Linked DNA regions of Elephas maximus indicus. The protein of the gene in region 2 interacts with the protein of the main gene of each other region in a pairwise test. Links are inferred from orthologs where the notes say so. Each region holds a gene or a part of one and is shown on either strand. Other genes may lie near its edges. The genes, in order: ASB9 and CKM.

Evidence for each region.
Region 1: the proteins of CKM (region 2) and ASB9 interact in binary tests that used the Homo sapiens proteins (3 or more experiments, as listed by UniProt). The two-hybrid records come from large-scale screens. The link is inferred for Elephas maximus indicus from reciprocal best matches to the Homo sapiens genes CKM and ASB9.

The regions. Positions count from the first base shown.
Region 1 is NC_064846.1:164,318,072-164,330,165, reverse strand, and holds the start of ASB9 (ankyrin repeat and SOCS box protein 9), read right to left. Parts: upstream 4,782-12,094; 5' UTR 4,538-4,781; coding exon 4,444-4,537; intron 1-4,443. UniProt on the Homo sapiens protein: Substrate-recognition component of a cullin-5-RING E3 ubiquitin-protein ligase complex (ECS complex, also named CRL5 complex), which mediates the ubiquitination and subsequent proteasomal degradation of target proteins.
Region 2 is NC_064829.1:104,383,379-104,395,034, forward strand, and holds the start of CKM (creatine kinase M-type), read left to right. Parts: upstream 1-7,193; 5' UTR 7,194-7,234; intron 7,235-9,926; 5' UTR 9,927-9,943; coding exon 9,944-10,136; intron 10,137-11,629; coding exon 11,630-11,656. UniProt on the Homo sapiens protein: Reversibly catalyzes the transfer of phosphate between ATP and various phosphogens (e.g. creatine phosphate).

The DNA.
Region 1 (12,094 bases), on a different chromosome or scaffold from region 2:
AACCCAGGAGCAGCTCCACCTGTCTTCCTACTCACTGACAGCTGGAGAGGCCAGAATTAGCCAGAAAGAGAGCCTGTTCCTGGCAGAACATGGCCGGTGCTCATAGTAGGAGACTATTTGATGGATGAAGGGGACTCTCAAGGTCACCATCCCCTTTTCTGTTGGCCCCACCGAAGTCTTTGAAACTCGAAGACCATTATCTTTATACAAGATGTGTTCTCCAAATCCTGAGCCCATGCTGCAGGTTCTTCCACAACACTTGTTCAGCCAGGGTCTGTTGCTTTTGCTGCCAAAAAGTAGACACCAAATGGGGTCACTGGCAGCACCATGGATCCTGTGGTAGAACTTCTGGTTAAAATGGGGTTGGGGACTCTCGGAAGGAAACTATTCCCCAAGTCCCCCGATTTAGCTCCATTAAACTCACCTTTCATTTAGAAGACTTTTCAACTGTGTATCCATCAAACCCTGCAGCACATTAGAAAGGCTGCCATTTCATTTTTATTGCAATTTCTGGAATGAATTTTAAATTTTCCATTATTTCAGAAGTGATTTAAAATGCAGCAATAGGTACATTTCAAAGAGAGCTATTAACGAAGCTCTGAGAGCCCCCCTCATGCTGGGCAGTAGCATCAGTCTCCCAGAGCATGCTGGGAAACATCTTGCAAGGTCAGGGACAGGAACAAGAGGCTGGGCTGCTCTGGGGGCAGGAGCGTTTGCCTTTGGTCCTTTGGTGTTGATAAGGGTGGCTTCAGTGGCACGCACCAACACTGGGGAAGTTCTGGGGTTGGTGATTACAGGGGACCTTGGTCTGATTCCAGGACAAATGAGAAAAGGAGAAATAGAGGTAAACGGAAAGGCCCACTGAGGCATGGCCTCATTAACTCTTGGGCAAGGAGGTCTACCATACAGCTCTCTCCCTCCCTCCCCCTCTCTCTTATAAGGCGCTGCTTTCTTCATAGGAACCTCGCCTCATCGCCCATCCTATCTGATCAGTAAGGTTTTCCTCCAGAAAAGTTGCCCCTGCTGAGATGTCCAACGCCTAAAAATCTACCACAAGAGAAGAAAGTTTTCCCCTTTCGCTGTCTATTCCTGCCTGTCTTCTGTTTAAATGTGAAAACTCTACAGCGTGGGCTCAATTTTTTGAGGAAAAAATTATCTCCACAGGAGCGTAGGTAGAAACATGAAGGACAGACACTGAAAGTGGGAAGAGTGATTACCTGGTCTCCGGGATTATGGGTGGTCGTTTATTCTTCAAAGTGTTTTCCAAAATTTCTGAGTAGGTATTTCCCGGGGTGGGGTGGGGGCATCTTTTTCCTGCTCCTGGGGTAGGAGCTGAACATTAAACAAGCCTCTACGGAGAGTTGGTTGCCCAGCTTCATATCCTTTCCTCCCAAGAGGGAGGCGGAGAAAAGCCTGCCTGCACCCCCGTCTCTGTTTTCCCTCAACTTCCCCCATGTTTTTCCAGGGATATGCTTCACCTGAGCTGAGTTTCTCGGCAGGGCCATTTGGAAACAGCATTCCGAGTGCTCCACATTCCACACTTCACCAAGGTCAAGACTTGAGAAACAAATAAACGTCATCCGGCTATGATTAAGCCTTGGTCCAAGGGGCAGGGCCAGCACCAAACAGGGAGAGAATCCCCTGGGTAAGGAGAAGGAGCAAGTCTGGGAAGGCTTCAAGGGGGCAGTGACTCTGTCTTAGTCTGGAAGCTCGGCTGAAATCTGTTGAGAATCATAGCAACACGCAGAAGGTACAGGTGATGGCTGTGCGTGGAATGTGTTGGCCGGGAACTGAACCCAGCTCTCCCGCATGGAAGGCAAGAATTCTACCATGGAGCCATCCTGGGGCATTTCAGCGTCAGAGTCTCTTCTTGCTTCTCTGGTCCTCTGTTCTCCACTGGAGGCCTGTCTCGGGCTCCATCCTTGGCCCTCAGCTCTTGGCCATCAGACAATTCTCCTTCTCCAGGGTTTCAATCACAGCCCCCTCCCGAACATCCTCAAGTCTCCGACTCCTGGCCTGTATTTGTTCCCGAGCCTTAGTTCCTCGTGTTCATGTTGTCCATTGGGCATCGTCACTGTCACTTTTGTGTTCAAAACAGAACTTCTTACGCCACCACCCCCCCCACTCTGCTCCCAAGCCAACTCCCCTTCCCAACTTCTCTCTTATCTAGCCCCCTTATCTGACATTAGTTTAGTCTGGAAAACTTTACAGTCTTGGCTGTCTTTAGCCCGAATAGTTAATCAAGCACCATAGCCTGATTGTTCTTTCCTTTGAAATAACACTCATATTTTCCCTTTCTCTGTCGGTTTCCATAGCAGGATCCAAGTCTAAGCTTCATGCGGTGGTTCTCAAAGTGTGGGCGCCAGACCAACACCAGCAGCATCACTTGGGAGCTTGTTACAAATACAGATTCCCAGGCTCTGCCCCAGTCCCTCAATTGCGTCAGAATCTTTGTGGGGGGCACGGCCATCTGCATTTTTACATACCCTCCAGGTGAGCCTGATGCTCTTGCCAAGTCTGAACCAGTGGCTTCGTGTAAGGATACCCTGTGAGCCCTCCACGGTCCATCCTGAGTGTGGCTAACACACTAATTGACATACTGTTATATATTCTGTTTACTGCTAGGTCTGCTCCATAACCATGAATGGCTCCCAATTCCCTGCCTCATGAGGGCTAAACTCCCCCACCTAGCTCTTAAAGCTGCATGATCAGGCTCCGTCTCTCCAAACGTGTCCTCAGTGGACCCCCTAAGACACTCTGCATTCTAGTGGTGACAGTGTCTTCACTTACCAAGTCCCATGCCCTCTAGTATGATGCCTGTCCACCCTCACTCACCCACGCCACCCCGTCCAGGGTTGGATTCGGACCTTTACAGACCCTAAACAGTGAAAAGGGGCTTAGAAATAAAAATAAACATAATACTTAGCGGTAAAATAATCCCGTGGAGGTCAACCAAATTACTGATTCTTTCCCATAATGGTTGATTTGCTGCTTTAAAAATATATTTATCAAGTTCTTTCTTAAAAAAGTGCTTTTTCGGTGCCACCCTGCTTTCTTTATGGCCCAAGTTCATGCTCAATGTTATCAACCGATTGATCCAGTTCTGCTTCTGTGGGTCCAAATCCTATTCACTGTTGAGTGTTCTGCTCATTTTAGGAGTAAAACTGAATAAATAAATGAATGAATGAGCAGCCTCACTCATTCAATTAGTCAGAAGGAAGGTGTTTTATATTTATTTCTTGTTTGCCCTTTCAGCACCGCGAAGTAGGTGATTAATTTTTTTTTTTAGTGTTGTAGTTGATGGCAGAGTCCCTGGTTATTGCCAGTCCAATTGTCAGGTGTTGTGGGCAGCCTACCAGGATGCTGAACATAATAATCCCTACTCCACTAACTGCCTAGAGGTCCCTGGGCAGTGCAAACAGTTTGTGCTCGACCGCTAACCTAAAGGTTGGCAGTTCGAAACCAACAAAATGGTGCCACAGAAGAAAGGCCTGGCGATTTGCCTGCATAAAGATTACAGCCAAGAAAATCCTATGGGGCAGTTCTACTCTGTCACATTGGATCGCCAGGAGTCAGAATCAACTTGACAGCGCACAACAACATACAGGAGCAAAAGGAGCCCTGGTGGTGCAATGGTTAGGCGCTCAGCTGCTAATTGAAAGGTTGGTGGTTCAAATCCACCCAGTGGCTCCATGGGGAAAGACCTGGGAATCTGCTCCCATAAAGATTACAGCCTAGAAAACCCTATGGAGCAGTTCTACTCTGTCACGTGTGGTCACTATGAGTTGGCATTGACTTGATGGCAACAGGTTTGGGATTTTTTTTTTTGGTTCTATTGCCTAGACCTAGTTTTCAGAGTCCTCTTAGCCAGCACGTACCTGTTGGCAGGCATGTGACAGTCCCAGAGGCATGGGACTCTGTGCATTTGCAAAGGCACCACTCCATACAAAGGCACCACTCCAAAAAAAAAAAAAATTTTTTTATGAAGGTAAGAATTATACCTGTAAGTCACTTCTCCAAAGTTAAAAAAAAAAATCCCCTTTTAAAATGAATCAACCAGGGTGCAATGTTTGAACACCAATTATAAACCCAGCCCCACCTAAATGCCAAATCCCTCCAACCTCTTAATAGGAGAACTGTCGTAGCAGTGAAAGCTTTCCTAATTGTAAGCAGTTTCGTAAACCTCCGATTTAATACGTGATGCATTTGACCCATTAAGAGTGGCTCCTCGGAGCTGAAGTTTCAGCTGGAGAAAAATCTGTGAAAACTGAATGTTTATCTTCTATAGTACTCTGCGGATATAGGTGTCCACATTTTGAACAACCATGTAAAGGACATGTATCACCTGGCTGTGGACATCCACCCAGTAACTGCCACTGAAGTCACCCCAGCCCCTTTCTCCCAAGCCCATTAGCCAGCCTCCCCAGTGCCCTTGTAACTCACCCCCCATCAGTGGGTTTGAAAGGAGCCTGGTGTCAGGAAGGGGCTCTGGCCCCAGGGACTTGCTGTCGTTTCTGCTGCCTCCTTCACCATCCATTGCGCTCTCCTGGGCTGGGCAAGCTCTAAGCTCCACTTCAGTTGCTCAGGAAAGTCCAAATTCCACACACCCCCTCCCCCGGGAAGTTGCAGCTCTCGGTGGCTGTCTGAGCAGCAGTCACACGTCCTGGCCAGACGTCTGCAACAGGAGCAGTCCAGGCAGCAGTAACCGGAGTCGTACCTGTGGTCAGACACACACAGACACTCACACACTCACACGCACACTCGCGCTTCACCTAGCTGGCTGGAGGCTAGCCAAAGCTCAAAACAGCCCATAGCCCCAAGTCTTGCTGATGTCACGTCCTTTCCAAAACTGAGACCAATCAGTGAGGAAGCCTTGAAGTTTATCAGGAAAGAAACTCACAGTTTGTAACTTTGGAGACTGAAGAGAACAGGGTGGGGATGACGGCAACAGCTCACTGGCTGCCACTTTGTCCCCCACTTCCCAGCTGAGACTCGTTGTTTTTTTGCAGGCTCAGGGGCTGAGAAGTCCAGGGTCTATGCCACAGCCCTGCTGACTGGCTCACCCGGGAATATTCACAGCCCCACCATCTCCTCGCACATGTGGTTTCAATTTTGCTGGGAGTTCCTTATGAGAAAATGTGTCTATATGTTACGAAAATGCACATTTCGAAAGAACTTTTATTTTCTTCCTTCCATCTGCAAAGTTTTCATTAAACGTTGCCCTTTACCCTTCCTCCACCCACAGGCTTTATTTTAACTTCTGAATAAATAATTAACGGTTGCTTTTGGGAAAATGGGTTGCTGAGTGGCCTGGGGTGAGGGCTGGGTGGGGGTGGAGGGGAGGGGGAGGGGGGAGCAGCCATCTTTCCCTTAACTGTTAATTTTCAAAGTTTACTTTGTCAAGGTTTCATAGGTTTGCCTTTACAAACTCTTTGGGTTTTCTGTAGATCTGTCTTTTCAGATGGGCCCAGTGTCATGGCACTCCGGGTGCTGGTTTGGGCTGATGCCTCCCAACAGACCCCCTCTGTTCCTGTCTTCCAGGTGAAGGGGATTCTTGGGTGGGGGGAGGCTCCCAGTTCCTCTCCAGGCTAGTCTGGCTGTGAAATGATTGCTGATTTTTTTAAAGCCAAGACTGTAGCCTCATTGTTTCAGATCTAAGAATCCCAGTTGGGGCACTTGGTAACCAGTGTTAACTAAGAAGTGTCCTTTGTCTTTTAAAAAGCATTCTCCTGCAGATATGTATGGAGCCCTGGTGGTGCAGTGGTTAACAGCCTGGCTGCTAACCCAAAGGTCAGCAGTTTGTATCCTCCAGCCACTCCTTGGAAACCCTATGGCACAGTTCTACTCTGTCCTGTAGACTCGCTGTGAGTCAGAATTGATTGATGACAACAGGTTTGGTTTGGGGGTTTGGTTGCAGACATGTATACACATTTATCCTTTTCCATTTTCACATCAATGTAAATATACTATCATGTTCTACGCTTTTCACACTTATTATATCTTGGAGAACATTCCATTTCAATGCTCCTTTTATTCGCGACTACATGGCATTCCATATTCCTTGTTATTCCCTTAATGATAGAGGCAGAAGGTTTCCATTGTTTTACTACTACAAAGGCACTGAAGTCCATATTTTTGTGCACATATAAAATATTTCTGGAGGAGAGCTTCTTAAGAGCGGAAAAGTTGAGTCAAAGGAATGCTCGTACATGCGTGATATAGACCTAAAGACACATGCACAGGAGTACAAGTAAAACTGGGGGAACTGCAGTAAGATCAGTGTATTGTATCCATGGCAATTTCCTGGCTGTGATATTGTGCTAGAGTTCTGCAGAATGCTACCACTGGGGGAAATTGGACAAAGTGTAAACGAGATCTCTCTGTATTATTTATTATGACTGCATGTGAATCTACAATTACTCAATAAAATTCCATTAAACAAAGATGCTCCTTTAAAATTAGGATCCGAGACCATACCAAACGAGTTACCATCAAGTAACCCATTGTGACTGCATGTATCAGAGTAGAATAGGATTTTCAAGACTGTGACGTTTCAAATCGCCAGGCCTTTCTTCCAAGGCACCTCTGGTTGTATTCGAACCACCAACCTTTCGGCTAGTAGTGGAGTGCTTAGTCATTTGCAAGAGGTGAAATGTGTGCCCCTATATAGACATTTTGCACCAAATGGAAAAAGTTAATACAAACTCTGTAGTCAAAGAACATGAGTATAGATAAAGGCCCATACGGCCCAGTCTGTTCGAACACTGTTGTCATTCCTCATAAACCCAGCGACCTCGTGTCCCAGAGCCAAGGCCTAATTGGAAACACTGTTCTCATTGTACAATAAGGCAGGGTGATATTTCGGTCATCATACTGATTTTGAAAAAAAGATTGCACTGAAATATTATTTATCTCGATGGCTGAGTTTTTGGTGCCCCCTTAAATTTTGTATCTGATGTGAGTGTCTGGCTTGCCCCACCCTAATCCCAGGCCTCGGGGAGAAGAATCATGATGTCTGCAACATACTTGCAAATGGTTCAGTAAAACAAAAACATGTGTGTGTACTAATCATACAAATTATGTGTGATTTATATATAAAAAATATATATTATATAGGTTGTGTGCATACATACATACCTAATACATCTATGTTGTTTATATTATTAAGGAACTGTTTCTCCCAAACTCTCCTTCCCTATATTTCTAAAATAGCCATGTCAAGTAAACATGAGGTCTATAAATGATTCTTTTTTTTTAGTAACAATGCTCATTGCTGAGAAGATTGTATGCACTTATCACGACAGAGAAGACATAATGTATATACGTACATACAAAAAACCAAACCCATTGCCATCAAGTCAATTCTGACTCATGGTGACCCCACAGGTCAGAGTATAATTGCCCCGCAGGGTTTCCAAGGAGTGGCTGGTGGATTCAACTGCTGACCTTTTGTTTAGCAGCCGAGTTTAGCAGCCGAGCTCTTAACCACTGCATAAACACACATATGTAGAGAGAAAAGCAAATGTGGCAAAATGCTAACAATTGAGGTGGTGGGCAAAGAGGTGTTCGTTGTATTATTCTTGCAACTTTTCTGTAAGCTTGAAATTTTTCAAGATATAACATAGTGAGGGAAGGAAAGTTAATAAGTGAAAAAAAGTGACGTACATTTTTTACAGATTAAACTCATGTTAAAAAAAAACAGTTGCTGTCGAGTCGATTCGGACTCACAGCACCCCCATGTGTGTCAGAGTAGAACTGCGCTCCATAAGGTTTTCAATGGTTGATTTTTCAGAAGTAGATCTCCAGGCCTTTCTTCAGAGGCACTTCTGGGTGGATTCAACCTCCAACCTTTCGGTTAGCAGTGGGGTGTGTTAGCCGTTTGCCCTACCCAGGGACTTCCATGTTAAATAGGAAGCTGCTACTTCAAGTGTAATCCGTGCATCCCTCCTGGTGCAGGGAAGAAGGTGATGAAGTCCATATGCAAATGTCCCTGCAACCGTGACCTTGGCAATGATCTGTGATGATCTGCGATGCACCCTCCCCTGACGTACTGGGGCGGGCGGGCCTGGAAGAGTTTAAAGCCCATTAGGTGGGGCGGGGAAGGCAGGCAGGGAGGAAGGCTTAATGTCAGGCAATGTTGGTGCTGATGAGTATGGCATTCTTAAGTAGAATGAATGTATATCAAAATAGCACCGACAAGTAAGCACAGTTAATATCTGTTGAATGTGTTTTGATCAAAGATTCTATAGAAGAATCTCAATTAAAGGGGGGGAAATGCACAACAGAATTTCAGATTCTCCTGGAATCCAGACTTTCTGGAGCAATTGAGGCCAGATGAACCCCTGAAACTACTGCCCTGAGACAATTTTTAAACCTTAAAGAAGGAAAGCATCCAAATTCCTGAATGCTCTATGAAAGGAAGAGACTCTTCTACTCTTTCTTTTTGATCTTTCCATGGTTAACAATGGCTCACCTGACTTCTTGGTTGTTGCAAATCCATCCTTTATCTCAATCCATTTTCCATCTTAAACATTTTTCTTATGGCTATTTATTCCTATGTCCCCCGTTGTAAATTTCCAATTCATTTCCCTTGCTATTTTTTTTTTAATTCATGAGCCTATATTACTCTTTATATATTGAAATGTGGCTGTCAGCTGAGATCACTCTGCCTTGGGGCAGACCGAATCATACCCCCTTCCATGGATTTTGGACTAGCCTGTGCCTTCCCCACGATTTGTGAAATTTGTCTTCCCTAAGATTTTAAAGAGCAGCTCAGGAAGACAAAGTAAAGTGTTATAATGACATGAGCAAAGGGCTGGAGATAGAAAACCAAAAGGGAAGAACGCTCTCGGCATTTCTGAAGCTGAAAGAACTGAAGAGAAAATTCAAGCCTCAAGTTGTAGTAGTGAAGGATTCTATAGGGAAAATATTAAACTACACAGGAAGCATCAAAAAAGATGGAAGGAATACACACAGTCACTATACCAAAAAGAATTGGTCGATGTTCAACCATTTCCAGAAGTAGCATATGACCAAGAACCAATGGTACTGAAGGAAGAAGTCCAAGCTGCTCTGAAGGCATTGCCGAAAAACAAGGCTCCAAGAATTGACAAAGTATCAATTGAGATGTTGCAACAAACAGAGGCAGCACTGGAAGTGCTCACTCCTCTATGCCAAGAAATTTGGAAGTCAGCTACCTGGCCAACTGATTGCAAGAGACCCATATTTATGCCTATTCCCAAGAAAGGTGATCCAACTGAATGCAGAAATTATCAAACAATATCATTAATATCACGTGCAAGTAAAATTTTGCTGAAGATCATTCAAAAGCGGCTGCAGCAGTATATTGACAGGGAACTGCCAGAAACTCAAGCTGGATTCAGAGGAGGACGTGGAACCAGGGATATCTTCCTGATGTCAGATGGTTCCTGGCTGAAAGCAGAGAATACCAGAAAGATGTTTACCTGTGTTTTATTGACTATGCAAAGGCATTCAACTGTGTGGTTCATAACAAATTAGGGATAACATTGTGAGGAATGGGAATTCCAGAACACTTCATTGTGCTCATGAGGAACCTGTGCATAGATCAAGAGGCAGTCATTCAAACAGAACAAGGGGATACTGCGTGGTTTGAAGTCAGGAAAGGTGCATGTCAGGGTTGTATCCTTTCACCTGTATGCTGAGCAAATAATCTCAGAAGCTGGGCTCTACGAAGAAGAATGGGGCATCAAGACTGGAAGAAGACTCATTAACAACCTGCATTATGCAGATGACACAACCTTGCTTGCTGAAAGTGAAGAGGACTTGAAGCACTTACTGATGAAGATCAAAGACCACACCCTTCAGTATGGATTACACCTCAACTTAAAGAAAACAAAAATCCTCACAACTGGGCCAATAAGCAACATTATGATAAACAGAGAAAAGATTGAAGTTGTCAAGGATTTCCTTTTACTTGGATCCACAATCAACAGCCATGGAAGCCGCAGTCAGGAAATCAAAAGACACATTGTATTGGGCAAATCTGCTGCAAAGGACCTTTTTCAAGTGTTGAGGAGCAAAGATGTCACCTTGAAGACTAAGGTGCACCTGACCCAACCCATGGTGTTTTCAGTCGCTTCATATTGCATGCAAAAGCTAGAGAATGAATAAGGAAGACCTAAGAAGAACTGAGGCTTTTGAATTGTAGTGTTGGCGAAGAATATTGAGTATACCATTGACTGCCAAAAGAATGAACAAATCTGTCTTGGAAAAAGTACAGCCAGAATGCTCATTAGAAGCAAGGATGGTGAGACTAAGTCTCACAGACTTTGGACATGTTGTCAGGAGGGATCAGTCCCTGGAGAAGGACATCATGCTTGGTAAAGTAAAAGGTCAGTGAAAAAGAGGAAGACCCTCAAGAGGGATTGACACAGCGGCTGCAACAATGGGCTCAAGCATAACAATGATTGTGAGGATGGCACAGGACATGGCTGTGTTTCATTCTGTCATACATGGGGCATTATGAGTCGGAACCAACTCAACGGCACCTAACAACAACATGATTTGTGAAACTTCTTCAGGAGTTTGTCTTTCTGGTCATATCTCTCATAGAAGAAGAGGTACTGTCCCACCTGAAACAGGGAAGTTTAAGTATTGTTTTGCCACCATGTAATGCATTCAATAAGGAGCCCTGGTGGTACAATGGTTAAGTGCTTGGCTGCTAACCAAAGGTCAGTGGTTCGAACCCACAAGCTGCTCCATGGGAGAAAAGACCTGGTGATCTGCTCCTGTAATGATTACAGCCTAGGAAGCCCTATGGGGCAGCTCTGCTTTCTCCTGTAGGGTCACTCTGAGTCAGAGTCATCTCAACAGCAATGAGTTAATGCAGCCAATATACTATAGCATGTAGATGCAGAGGAATAATCTAGACTTCTTCCTCAATATCTTGTAAAAATAATGCACAAAGCACTTGTATATGTTTCAGACTTTACTGGAGGTTTGGGCAATTTCAACAATTTGCGAGCAGTAACTCGAACAACTGGAAGCAGATCACCAGGCCTTTCTTCTGAGGTGCCTCTGGATGGACTCAGACCAATCTCTTGATTAGTGGTGCTTAACTTTTTGCACCACACATCGACTTTGTTCGTTACGAGAGATCCCAAATAATCACTTTCCTGTCTCCACTGGAGGAGCCTCTCTGAGGGAGAAAGATGTGGCAGTCTGCTTCTATAAAGATTACAGCCTTGGATACTTGTTTGGTACCAAAAGAGTGGGGTGCTGCTCTAACAGATAACTACAATGTGGAAGCCGTTTTGAAGTTGAGTAATGGATAGAGGCTGGAAGAGTTTTAAAGTGCCTAGTGGTACAGTGGTTAAAGTGATTGACTGCTAACTGAAAGGTCAGTGGTTTGAGACCACCAGCAGCTCTGTGGGAGAAAGATGTGGCAGTCTGCTTCTGTAGAGATTTACAGTCTTGGAAACCCTATGGGGTCGCTATGAGTTGGAATCGACTCAGCGGCAGTGAATTATTAGTAAAAGCCTAGATTGCCTTGAAGAGACTGTTGATGGAATTATTGACATCAAAGACAATTCTGGTGAGGGCTCAGAAGGAAGTGAAGAGAGCTGTAACACCAGAGATGGCGCAGATGGTGAGAAGCAGCAGCAGATAAATGGCAGCAGCAGAACCAGGAGACCAGTGTGAGTTGGCACTGGAGCCAACCCAAGGAGCAAGAGAGCTGAGTGCCTTCAGGCAGGAGGATTCCTGGTGGAGTAGGGTGCCTCCAGGCACTTATTGGTAGAGCTAGGCTTGCCGACCCACAGAGCAAGAGAGCTGAGTGCCTTCTGAGGTTTACTGGTGGCGTGGTATGCCTCCAGATGCTTATCAACAGAGCTAAAGAACTTTGGAACACTTGCCCAAGCAGCACAGATGCCGGGCCTGCCCAAGGACCTGAGGGGCTGAGAAGCCAAGGAACCAGGAAGCAGAAGCTGAAGAGACAAGGAACACAGGAAGCAGAGCTGCCTCAGTCTCAAAGGGTGGGACCACCACCTCTGGGGTCTCAAAGTTGTGGCAACCAAAAATGTCTCCAGACATTGCCAAATATCCCTGGGGGAAG
Region 2 (11,656 bases):
AGGCATGATGTCCTTCTCCAGGGACTGATCCCTGCTGATAACATGTCCAAAGTATGTGAGACATAGTTTTTCCCTCCTTGCTTCTAAGGAGCATTCTGTTTATTTTTTTTTATTATTATTATTGTGCTTTAAGTGAAAGTTTACAAATCAAGTCAGTCTCTCATACAAAAATTTATACACACCTTGCTATATACTCCTAGTTACTCTCCCCCTAATGAGACAGCACACTCCTTTCTCTCCACCCTGTATTCCCCGTGTCCATTCAGCCAGCTTCTGACCCCCTCTGCCTTCTAATCTCTCCTCCAGACAGGAGCTGCCCACATAGTCTCACGTGTCTGCTTAAGCCAAGAAGCTCACGCCTCACCAGTATCATTTTCTACCTTATAGTCCAGTCCAATCCCTGTCTGAAGAGTTGGCTTTGGGAATAGTTCCAGTTTTGGGTTAACATAAGGTCTGGAGAACATGACCTCTGGGGTCCTTCTAGTCTCAGTCAGACCATTAATTCTGGTCTTTTTGCGAGACTTTGAGGTTTGCATCCCACTGCTCTCTTGCTCCCTCAGGGGTTCTCTGTTGTGTTCCCTGTCAGGGCAGTGATCAGTTGTAGCCGGGCACCATCTAGTTCTTCTGGTCTCAGGCTGATGTACTCTGATTTATGTGGCCCTTTCTGCTAAGGAGCATTCTGGCTGTACTTCTTTCAAGACAGATTTGTTCTTTCTTTTGACACTCCATGGTATAGCCAACATTCTTCTCCAACACCACAATTCGAAGGGATCAATTCTTCTTTGGTCTTCTTTATTCATTGTCCAGCTTTGCATGTACATGCAGCAATTGAAAACATCATGGCTTGGGTCAGGTGCACCTTAGTCTTCAACATCTTTGATTTTTAACACTTTAGAGAGGTCTTTTGCAGCAGATTTGCCCAAAGCAATGCATCTTTCGATTTCTTGACTGCTGCTTCCATGGGTGTTGATTGTGGATCCAAGTAAAATAAAATAAAATCCTTGACAACTTTAGTTTTTTCTCCATTTATTACGATGTTGCTTATTGGTCCAGTTGTGAGGATTTTTGTTTTCTTTGCGTTGAGGTGTAATCCATTCTGAATGAAGGCGGTGGTCTTTGATCTTCATCAGTAAGTACTTCAAGTCCTTTTCACTTTCAGCAAGCAAGGTTGTGTCATCTGCATGATGCAGGTTGTTAATGAGTCTTCCTCCAGTCCTGATGCCCAGTTCCTCTTCATATTGTCCACCTTCTCGGATTATTTGCTCAGCATACAGACTGAATAGCTATAGTGAAAGGATACAACCCTGACACACACCTTTCCTGACTTTAAACCACACAGTATCCCTTTTTCTGTTCAAATGACTGCCTCTTGATCTGTGTACAGGTTCCTCATCGGCACAATTAAGTGTTCTGGAATTCCCATTCTCCGCAATGTTATCCATAATTTGATATGATCCACACTGTCAAATGCCAATATGGCATTACTTAGAAATGTATCTTGGCAATCATTCCAAATAAGCATATGTTGTTGTTGTTGTTTTTGTTAGATGCTGTCAAGTCGGCCCCTGACTCATGGAAATCCTATGAACAATGGAACAAAATGCTGCCTGGTCCTGTGCCATCCCTATGACTGATTGCAGATTGGACCATTGTGATCTGTAGAGTTTTCACTGACTGATTTTCAGAAGTAGGTTGCCAGGCCTTTCTTCCTAGTCTGTCTTAGTCTGGAAGCATCGCTGAAACACGTTCAACATATTAGTAACACACAAGCCTCCACTGACAGACAGGTGGTGGCTGCGTGTGAAGTGTGTTGGCCAGGAATCAAACCTGGGTCTCCTGCATGGAAGGCGAGAATTCTACCACTGAACGACCAATGCCCCACAGTATATGTATGTAGATTAACTTTATTTTTTTTAGCAGTTGCATAGTATTCCATCAGTGAATGTCTCATCATGTATCAATAAAAATACTCTTTCAAAAAAGTGATTCTTAGGGCAAAGAAGAAATCATAACAGAAATAGAAAATATTTAGAACAGATCTATAATGAAACTACTACATAACAAATCTGTTAAAGAGTGATCTATTGCTACATGTGACAATATGAATGAATCTCAAGAGACATAATGTTGAGAAAAATAAATCAGACACAAGACAAGACATTCTGTACGATTCTGCTGTTGTTGTTAGCTGCCATCGAGTCGGTTCTGACTCATAGAGACCCTATGCACAACAGAACAAAACACTGCCCTGTTCTGCTCCATCCTTACAATCGTTGTTATGCTTGAGTTCATTGTTGTAGCCGCTGTGTCAGTCTACCTCGTTGAGGGTCTTTAACGAGAATGATTCTACTTATATCAAATTCAACGATTGATATATTCAACAATGTCAATAATTGGATGATACCAATAATTGAAACTCAGTAATTGGTGTTGGAATTCAGGGTAGTGTTACTGTGGAGGGGAGAGGGGACATCAACTGGAAGGGGGCATGAGAGTTTTTAGGGGTGCTGGAAGACCAACATCTTGATTTTGGTGGTGGTTACTCAAGTGTACACATATATAAAAGTTCATCAGGATTAAGGTTAGGGCACTTCACTGACTATAAGTTATACAGAAATGAAAGAATAAATTCAAGAAATAATAAATGAGGCCATCCAAACATCCCAGATTTACTGAAGAATAAGATTTCCAATGTAAAGAATAAAACTGAAATGATAATAGAACGCAAGCAAACAAACAGTTGGTGGGGTGCAGCTAAAGCAGCACCTAGAGGAAAATGGATAGTAAACTGATTTGGAGGGCTGGGGGAGGAGCAGGCATGAAAGACTTGTTGGCTTGCCACCCTCCTCCTCATATTGGGCCCAACTCTGTTCAGCAGATTACAGGGCTGTAGCAGGTCTGGCTTTGCTCTTGGGGGACACGAAGGAGTGGTGGGCAGGCCCTCAACTCTCCAGGTCTGGGGCTGGCCTTGATTTACAACCTGTCTTCCTGAACTGCATGGCATCATAGATGGCCAGGATTGGGAGAGGGATCTGAGGAATGGAAGGGGAGGTCATTACAGGAGTAGTGAGTGCTGTCCTCCCAGGGTCTCCCATCCCCAGCGGAGGGACAGGAACAAGGGACATCCTAGGAAAAAGAGGGCTTGGGCGAAGGGCTGCTCTGCAATGCCAGGGTGGGGTGGGAGTTTGCCAGATGGTGGTAGGAAGAGTTCACTTTTTAGATTTCTAGACATACTGGCTATGAGACCTTGGGCAACTCTCTTGCCCTTTCTCAGCCTCAGCAACCATCTTCTGTAAAATGGGGCTTCAGCATGAAGAAGTGGAATCAGGAAAAGGTTAGGAATACAAACTCAGGGTCTGACTGCCTGGTCCAGACAGTCTGGTCCAGGCAGTCTGCTACTTGCCAGGTGTTTGACTTGGGCTAGTGACTCAACCTCTCTGGGCCATGTTTCATTCTCCTGATTTGTAAAAATCTCATAGGACTTTGGATAATTAAATTAGCCAATACACATGAAGTGGTTGTACCCTGACATCAGATGGCTGGGGCAATGGTGGGGACATGGGAAAGTGGGTAAACATTACCAGGGCCTGATGACCTGGGAAGGAATCCTGAGCTGACAATATAGCCTATGACCTTTCTAGGAGACCTTCAAAAAAATTTTTTTTTCACTAGGGCCTGAACCCACACTCAACGCCCTGTGCCAATTTGACTCCCAGCTCTCCCCCTTCCCAGCTGTGTGTCCTTGAACAAGTCAATCAACTTCTCTGAGCCTTCTTGTTGGGAAGATTATATGAGTTAATATATATGAAAAGCTCTCAGCAGAGGGCTTGACATATAGGAAGTGCTTGATAAAAAGGAGGGTGGAGGAGCCTGTGGAGTGGCCACTGAACATTCACGCCAACCTCCTTCAACCTTCTGTTGATGAAAAAGCCGGAAAGCTAAACATGAGATTTCCCACCGGTAGCATGGTTCTGGAGGCGAGAGGTGTTCCTGGAGGCCCAGCCTAGAACCCCCTCCTTCAGCCCTTCCAATATTTTGTAAGTATCTAATAACCCACAACCCACTGCTGTCGAGTATCTGGTAGTAAATCCCCATCCGTTTAAGCTAGGTAGAAATAGTTTGATGCCTGCAATTGATGGACATGGCTATTACGGTAAAACCTGCAAAAGCCGGAAACTGTAACGCGGAAATCTATCAAAGAAGAAAAATTCAAATATTTTCCACTAATAGAGAGTGATAGAAAAGTGGTAAGACTGCACCCTGTCAAAAGCAGACAACTGGCGAAACCCGCAAAAAAAAAGGCAGCCCCATTGAGTTCCAGCTCTCACAGGTTTCACTGTATTATTTACTTAGTTAACAAAAACTCATTTGCCCTGAGGGCACTGGGGAGCCCTGGCAGGTTCTGAGCAGGGGAGGGACAGGTCAGGTAGGGGGTGTATGGGAGGTTGCAAGACTGAGGAGGAGCTGTGGGGGAGGGGGGGAGGCGGGACTTGAGCCAGGTGGGGTCGTGGGGAGGCAGAGGAGGAACGGACAGGCCTTGCAGACAGGCTCTGAGTGGGCGGGATGAAAACATATGACGGGGATCATGGACCATGATTCATAATTCATGATGCTCCCAAACTGCCATTCAAACAAGGTAAAGCAGCCTCACAGCTCAGGGTCCTGCTAATGCGTCTGATTGGCTCAGCTTAGATCACGTGACTAAACTAGTGCTTCAAGGGATTCTGGGAAACCGAGTTTCTGACGTTTTCAGCTTCTCCAGAGGAGGTGGTCATAGGGTGGGGAATTCTTCAAAAACAGAAAGGGCTTCTGACGCTGTGTGGCGAAAATGTATGTTAAATGCCACCACACAGGGTCATCAGGGGCTCAGGGAGCTCAGGTCTTTCCCTGGCTCACAACCCTCAGTGGCTCCCATCCCATGCACAGTGGAATCTGAACTCCTCCCCGTGGCCCCCGGGACCCAATGGGTCTGTTCCTGGCCCCTCTTCAGCCTGGTCTTCTTCCTCTCATTCTCCGCTCTGCCCAACCACCTGGCTTCTTCATTGTCTTTCAGGCCTGCCAGCCACCTTCCACCTCAGGGCCTTTGCACCTGCTGTTCCCCCCGCCCCCAGACACTGCCTCCAGCTCCCTCCTTTCCTTCAGGTCTGTGTTCAGGTGTCACCTCCTCAGAGAGGCCTGCCCTGACCTCCTTTTCTAAAATAGCTGCTGCTGCACCATCACTCTCATTCCATTATCCTTTCTTATTGTCCTTCAAAGCCCTACTTGCCCCCTGACATTACAGTACATATTTACTTGTTCCATGTCACTAAAACATTCCCTCCATGATGGCAGGAGTTTTGTTTAGTTCCTGCTGTGTCCCCAGTACACACATACACGCCAGTTGCTGTAGAACCGACTCTGACTCCTGGCGACCTGACTCATGGCGACCCCATGTGTGTCAGAGTAGAACTGTACTCCATAAGGTTTTCAATGGCTGATTTTTTGGAAGCAGACCGCCAGGCCTTTCTTCCGAGGCACCTCTGGGTGGACTCAAACTTCCAGCATTTTGATTAGCAGCTGAACACATTAACCATTTGCACCACTCAGGGAATGTTCCCAGCAAGTGTTCAATAAATAATTGTTGAAATGATAAATGCAAAAAGATTTTTGGCCTTTTTTTTTTTTTAAGTTCTGTGGGCCTCAGTTTCCCTAACCGGGAATTAGACCTTTGCCAAGGTGACCTTGAGGGGAAGGGGCCGATGGGTGGAGAGGTCAGTGGCTGGGCCCAAGGAAAAGCTTTTTAAGCCCTCCGTGCACCAACCCCAAACCAGGAATCTGGGAAAGGCAGGGTGGCCCCCTTGCCCTAAGCCAGTCTTCATCTGCTTGAGAAGAAATGGGGGAGACCCAGGAGACATCAGAAAAGGTGGAGACCCTTGGAAGGGAGGCAACATGCTGTTCTCCGTTGCAATCCTGGGCGTTTACTGGAGGAGGCGGCCCCTTCTGTCTTGCAATCCCGGCGCCTCGCAGGCAGAGGAAGCAGCTTCCTCTATGCTGCCTCCACCTACCGCAGAACCCCCTCCCCAGCCCTTGTGCTCCTTGGGTCACATTTGAGGCGCCGAGCGCTCCCGCGACGCCGGGTCTGTGCGAGTCCGATGCCCGCGCTCTGAACCGCGTCGCCGCCCAGCCCCCTTCCCGGGGGTAGGAGCCGCTGCCCAGGGCCGTGGCTGCCCTTGTAAGGAGGCGACGTGCGGGACACCCGAGCTGCCCGGTTATAATTAACCCGGACACGTGGCGACCCCCCCCCCAACACCTGCCTCCCCCACGCCCCCCCATCCCTGAGCCTCGGGGGCTCGGCCTTCCTAGAGGAGACCGGGAAGCGCACTCTAAAAATAACTCCCTTCCGGGGCCGGCCGAGTCCCTCCTGTCCCCTCGGCCGTATCTTAATGACGGAAATCTCCCAGGATGGGGGCAGTGGGGAGGGCCCTGAGTTTGAATCTCCCCTGCTCAGCGTGCCTCAGTTTCCCTCTCACTTCCACACCTACTAGGAAGGAGCATGTAAGCACAGGTCTCGGGGATCAGACTGCCCTGGGTTTCAGTCCCGGCTTTGGTCACACGCCCCCTAGCTGAGTGGCAGCGGACAAGCCACACTACCTCTCAGAATTTGTTTCTTTCTCTGCAAAACGGAATGTCTGGGCTTCCTGAGGTCATTGCTGCAGGGTTTTTTAACACGGTGCAGGTTGATGAAAAAAAAGATGAGGGCTCAGTATTTGCCACTTGCCTGGGCCAAGGGGTTTGCGGGCTGCAGAGAGGCCTGGCAGAGGAAGGGGCTGGAGACTGGCCTTGGCCCAGGAATAGTGGAGCTCAGAAGGGGCAGGTCCCGTGGGCCAGGGGAGGGAGGCTTCTATGTGCCCTATCGCCATCCCATGTCCCCGGCAGGGGGCCAGCTGTCCCCGCCAGCCCGACTCAGCACTTGGTCAGAGGATCAGCTAGAGGGGGGAGCTGAACTGGCCCTTGGGGCGGCCCATACAAGGCCATGGGGCTGGGCGCAAGGCACGCCTGGGTTCAGGGTGGGCACAGTGCCCAGGCAGGGAGCTGAGAGACTCAGCTGCCCTCCAGCCTCCTCCCTGGGGGCAGCGCCTCTCAGCCAATAGCACAGCCCAGACCCCCCCTATATAAGGCCAGGGCTGCAGAACCTGCCTTTGGGTCAGTGTCGCTGCAGAGGATACAGACAGCCCCTTCAGCACAGCCTAGCCAGGTACCATCTAGGGTGGGAGTTGGGGTGGGGTCCAGAGTGGGGGCCCCATGTGCACTAGAGGCTGAGCTAAAGGGGCCTCTTGTGTCTACCCTGCCTGTCCTCTTGTCCACAAGGTTGTCTGAGTGTGGGAAGTGACCTTGTGAGTTTGGGCGTCCCCTCCACCTAGAAGCCCACCTGACCCCCTGTTATGTCTTGTGTCCCTGTGGCATGGGTTTAGGGGGCAGGATCCCAGAAAAGAAAGGGGTTTTGACAGCTTCCAGCTGTTACCCACCACAAGGAGCTATGGGGCTGGGCCTGTGTTCATTAGGGTTTGTCACCAGGACTAGGTACCACAAGCCATGTGGGGTGTCTGTTTGTCACCTGTCGTGGTCTGCAAGAGCAGGTGTGGGAGTGTCTTTGCATTTGCAGCCGTGTGGGTCTCTGTGACCTTGTGTCTGCCTTTCTGTGGGTCCTGCATGGATGCCTGTATCCTGGGTATGTCCCTGTGCCTGCAGGTGTGACCGTATGACTGTTTACAGTGTGGTTTGGAGTGTCCATGGTGAGTGGCTGTCCTTGGCTGTGATGTGTGTGTGGCTCTGAGGCTGTGTCTACTTGTTTCACTTGGGGTCACCCACCTGGCCTCAATACCGTGTCCCAGGGGTGTCCCTGGCAGGGATGGGGTGGGGACACCCTCTGAATGGGAGGGGCTCTGGGCTGGGAGCCCGAGATGTCCTTGAGCACCAAGGCCTGGTTGCGTGTCCTCCCAGCCACCCTGGCCCACCTGTCTCCGGCCTGATGACTTGGTGCAAGCCGAACCCCAGGAATGTGGGGGCGGGGGGCAGCAGCTGAGGGGGAGGAGCCTACCAGACTCTAAAAATAACCCCTACCCTGGGCAGCAACTCCAAAGGTCTTTTGTAGGTCCCCATCGCCACCCTCTGACCTGGTCCCCAGATCCTTCCTACAATCCCATTGGCTCCCCATCCCTGGAGCTGGGCCCCTCCTTCTTTCTGGGGCTGGTGGCAAAAAGTAATAATAGCAGCCATCTCACTGGGTACTGGGCATCTGGTACTCCACGCCAGGGCCTGTGCTCAGTCCCATAGCACCGAGCTGGAAGGATCCTCCCAGCCACCCCATGGGGAAGGCTAAGGTCACAGGAGACAGAGGCTCAGAGAGGCAGAGCCAATAGCCTGGGGTCACATAGCAGGGAAATGGCATAGGTGGGATTTGAACTCAGCCCTGTTGACAGCATGAAGCGCTGGTGGTGCAGTGGTTAAGAGCTTGCCTGCTAACCAAAAGATCGGCAGTTCAAATCCCTCCACCACTCCTTGGAACATCCTATGGGGCAGTTCTATTCTGTGTCCTATAGGGTCGCTATGAGTTGAAATTGACTTGACGGCAATGGGTTTTTTTGGTTTCTTTTGGCACCAGAGACTGAACTTTCCTTCTCAACTGGGCCCTGTAGGACGGTCGTCAGCAGGCACAAGTGGGCAGCCACCAGCCCTCCCTCCCGCCCTGCACTCACTGAGCATCCAAGAATCTTTGGGGCAAGAAGGTCCTTTCTCTGCTCACATACTCATTCCCAGCAATGTCCTCACTTCCACCATCGCACCAGCTCCTCTCACAGACTTAAAACAACAACAACAATAAGTAAAATGCTTATTGTGCGCAAGTACAGCATCGGTAATAATAACTAGGTCAAATAGTGCTTACTGTGTGCCCGGCCTTGTTCCAACTGTTTCCTATGCATTAACTCATTTAGTTCTCACAACACCCTCATGAAGTGGGTGCTGTTATGACCCCCATTCTACAGATGAGTAAGCTGAAACACCCCATCTGTCAGTTTGTAGCACTGTGGTGGCTTGTGTGTTGCTATGATGCTGGAAGCTATGCCACTGGTGTTTCAAATACCAAAAAGGTCACCCGCAGTGGACAGGTTTCAGCAGAGCTTTCAGACTAAGACAGACTAAGAAGAAAGGCGTGGCGATCCGCTTCCGAAAATTAGCCAATGAAAACCCTAGGAGTCGCCACAGAACATTGTCCGATATAGTGCTGGAAGAATGGTGCAGGACCGGGCAACTTTTTTTTTTTTTTTTTAATAATTTTATCCATTTTGTTCCTGTTGCTTTTGAGAACATACTCAGCAAAACATACACCAAGTCAACAATTTCTCCATGTACAATTCGGGGACGTTGATTACATTCTTTGAGTTGTTCCCAGGCAACGTTTTGTTCTGTTGTATATAAGGTTGCTATGAGATGGAGTCGACTTGAAGGCACCTGACAAACAACAAAGCTGAAGTGCAGAGAGGTTAAGCAACTTGCCCAAGGTCACACAGCAAGTAGTAAGTGGCAGAGCTAGGATTCAAACCCATGCTCTCTGCTTCCAGAACCCACACTCTTAACCATATCATGACACTACTCTAGTCTGGGGGTTTTCCCACCCATTTTTCAGCTGGAGGAACTGCATCTCTAGCAAAATTATAGTCCAGGGTCACCCAGCCAGGCTGTCGCACAGCCAGAATCCTAACCCAAGGTTTTCTGATACTTCTTGCCAAGATTCAAAGGCTCAGAGAGGGAACCTTATTTACTCCAAGTCACACAGCACAGGAGTCAGGCTTTGCTCTCGGGCGGGCCTGCCTGCAAAGCCTTGCTCTGTTCCGTTGCTGGCCTCTGCTGGGTGTGGGCTAACCTTCTGTTCCTCCTCTACCCACCAGGCCTACACGCTGCCACCATGCCATTCGGCAACACCCACAACAAGTTCAAGCTGAACTACAAGCCTGAGGAGGAGTACCCGGACCTCACCAAGCACAACAACCACATGGCCAAGGCACTGACCTTTGACATCTACAAGAAGCTGAGGGACAAGGAAACACCATCGGGCTTCACCCTGGACGATATTATCCAGACGGGTGTGGACAACCCAGGTAAGCCTCCTGGGCGATGCCTCCAGACCCACTGTAGCATCAATTCCAAGCACCAATTCTGCCTCCTTGGGCCTCGGTTTTCTCACCTGTAAAATGGGGACCAGCCTTATGGGGCTGCTTGAGAAACCAGTGAGTTAATACGTGTATAGAACTTGAGACAGTACCTGGCACATGATAAACCACTCAATAGATGTATACAATTATAATGTAAGACCCCAAGGAAGTAATTTAATCTGTCTGAGCCTCAGTTTTCTCAGCTGAAAAATGGGCATCCATGTTGTAGGGCTGTTGTGAAAATATATAAGTCAGTGTGTGTCCAGGGCTTGGAGCAGTGTCTGACAGACAGTGAGCACTCAGAAAATGACAGGGGTATTATTAGAGTAAGAGAGCTCTGGTGGTGCAGTGGTTAAGCGCTTGGCTTCTAACTGAAAGGTCAGCAGTTCGAACCCACCAGCTGCTCCACAGGAAAAAAGACCTGGCAATTTGCTTCCGTAAATCTTACAAATCTCTACGGGGCCATTCTACTCTGTCCTATAGGGTAGCTATGAGTCAATGGCACTCAACAATATTACTAGTGCTGTGGCTCTTTCTAGAAGGACACTCCGCAAGGAGACTGGAAGTGGTGGTTGGAGACAAGGTTCTAGTCCTGTCTCACTTCCCGCTCATCTTGTGATTGTGGGGAGAGTCCCCCTCTCTTCAGGTCTCTGGTTCTCCATCTAGGAAACAAAAGGGTTTCCTTTCAAGTCTCATCATCCTGACCCGCTCATAGTCCAAGATTCTCAACATTTTTAGCCTAAGATTTCATGGTTTGGAAACTCCGAGGTGCTAACCCCTGGATGATACAAACTATTAACGTGCTTGGCTGCTAACCCAAAGGTTGGAGGTTCGAGTCTATCCAGAGGTGCCTTGGAAGAAAGACCGGGCAATCTACCGCCAAAAATTCAGCCATCGACAATCCTATAGAGCATAGTTTTACTCTGACACACATGGAGTCTCCATGAGTCAGAGTTGACTCAATGGCAACTGTTTGTTTTTTTTTTTAACTGGCCCGTTGAGGCTCCCCTTTCTTCTTGGCCCTGCCCCAGCACCCTCCCCAACCCTAGATGCCACCTGGATCCTCCCAGCACCCCGCTCCATACTGCTAACCCTCAACCTTCTCAATCCTGATCCACAGGTCCTGAATGAACACCCCCCTCTCCCAACACACACACACATACACACACACTCACACACACTCTTTCTTTCTCTCCCTCTACACTGGCCTCTGATAAACCACTCAGTAAACATACACAATTGTAATGTGAGGCACCAGGAAAGTTATTCAATCTCTCTGAGCCTCAGTTTCCTCTCCTGAAAATTGGACACCTGTGTTGTAGGGCTGTTGTGAAAATATACGAGTCAGTGCGTGTCCAGTGCCTTGGGCAATGCCCTAACTAAGCATCAGGCCTTGTTTGCTGGGGGCAAGCCCGTCTGACCTCACCCCAACTCCCCAGGTCACCCCTTCATCATGACCGTGGGCT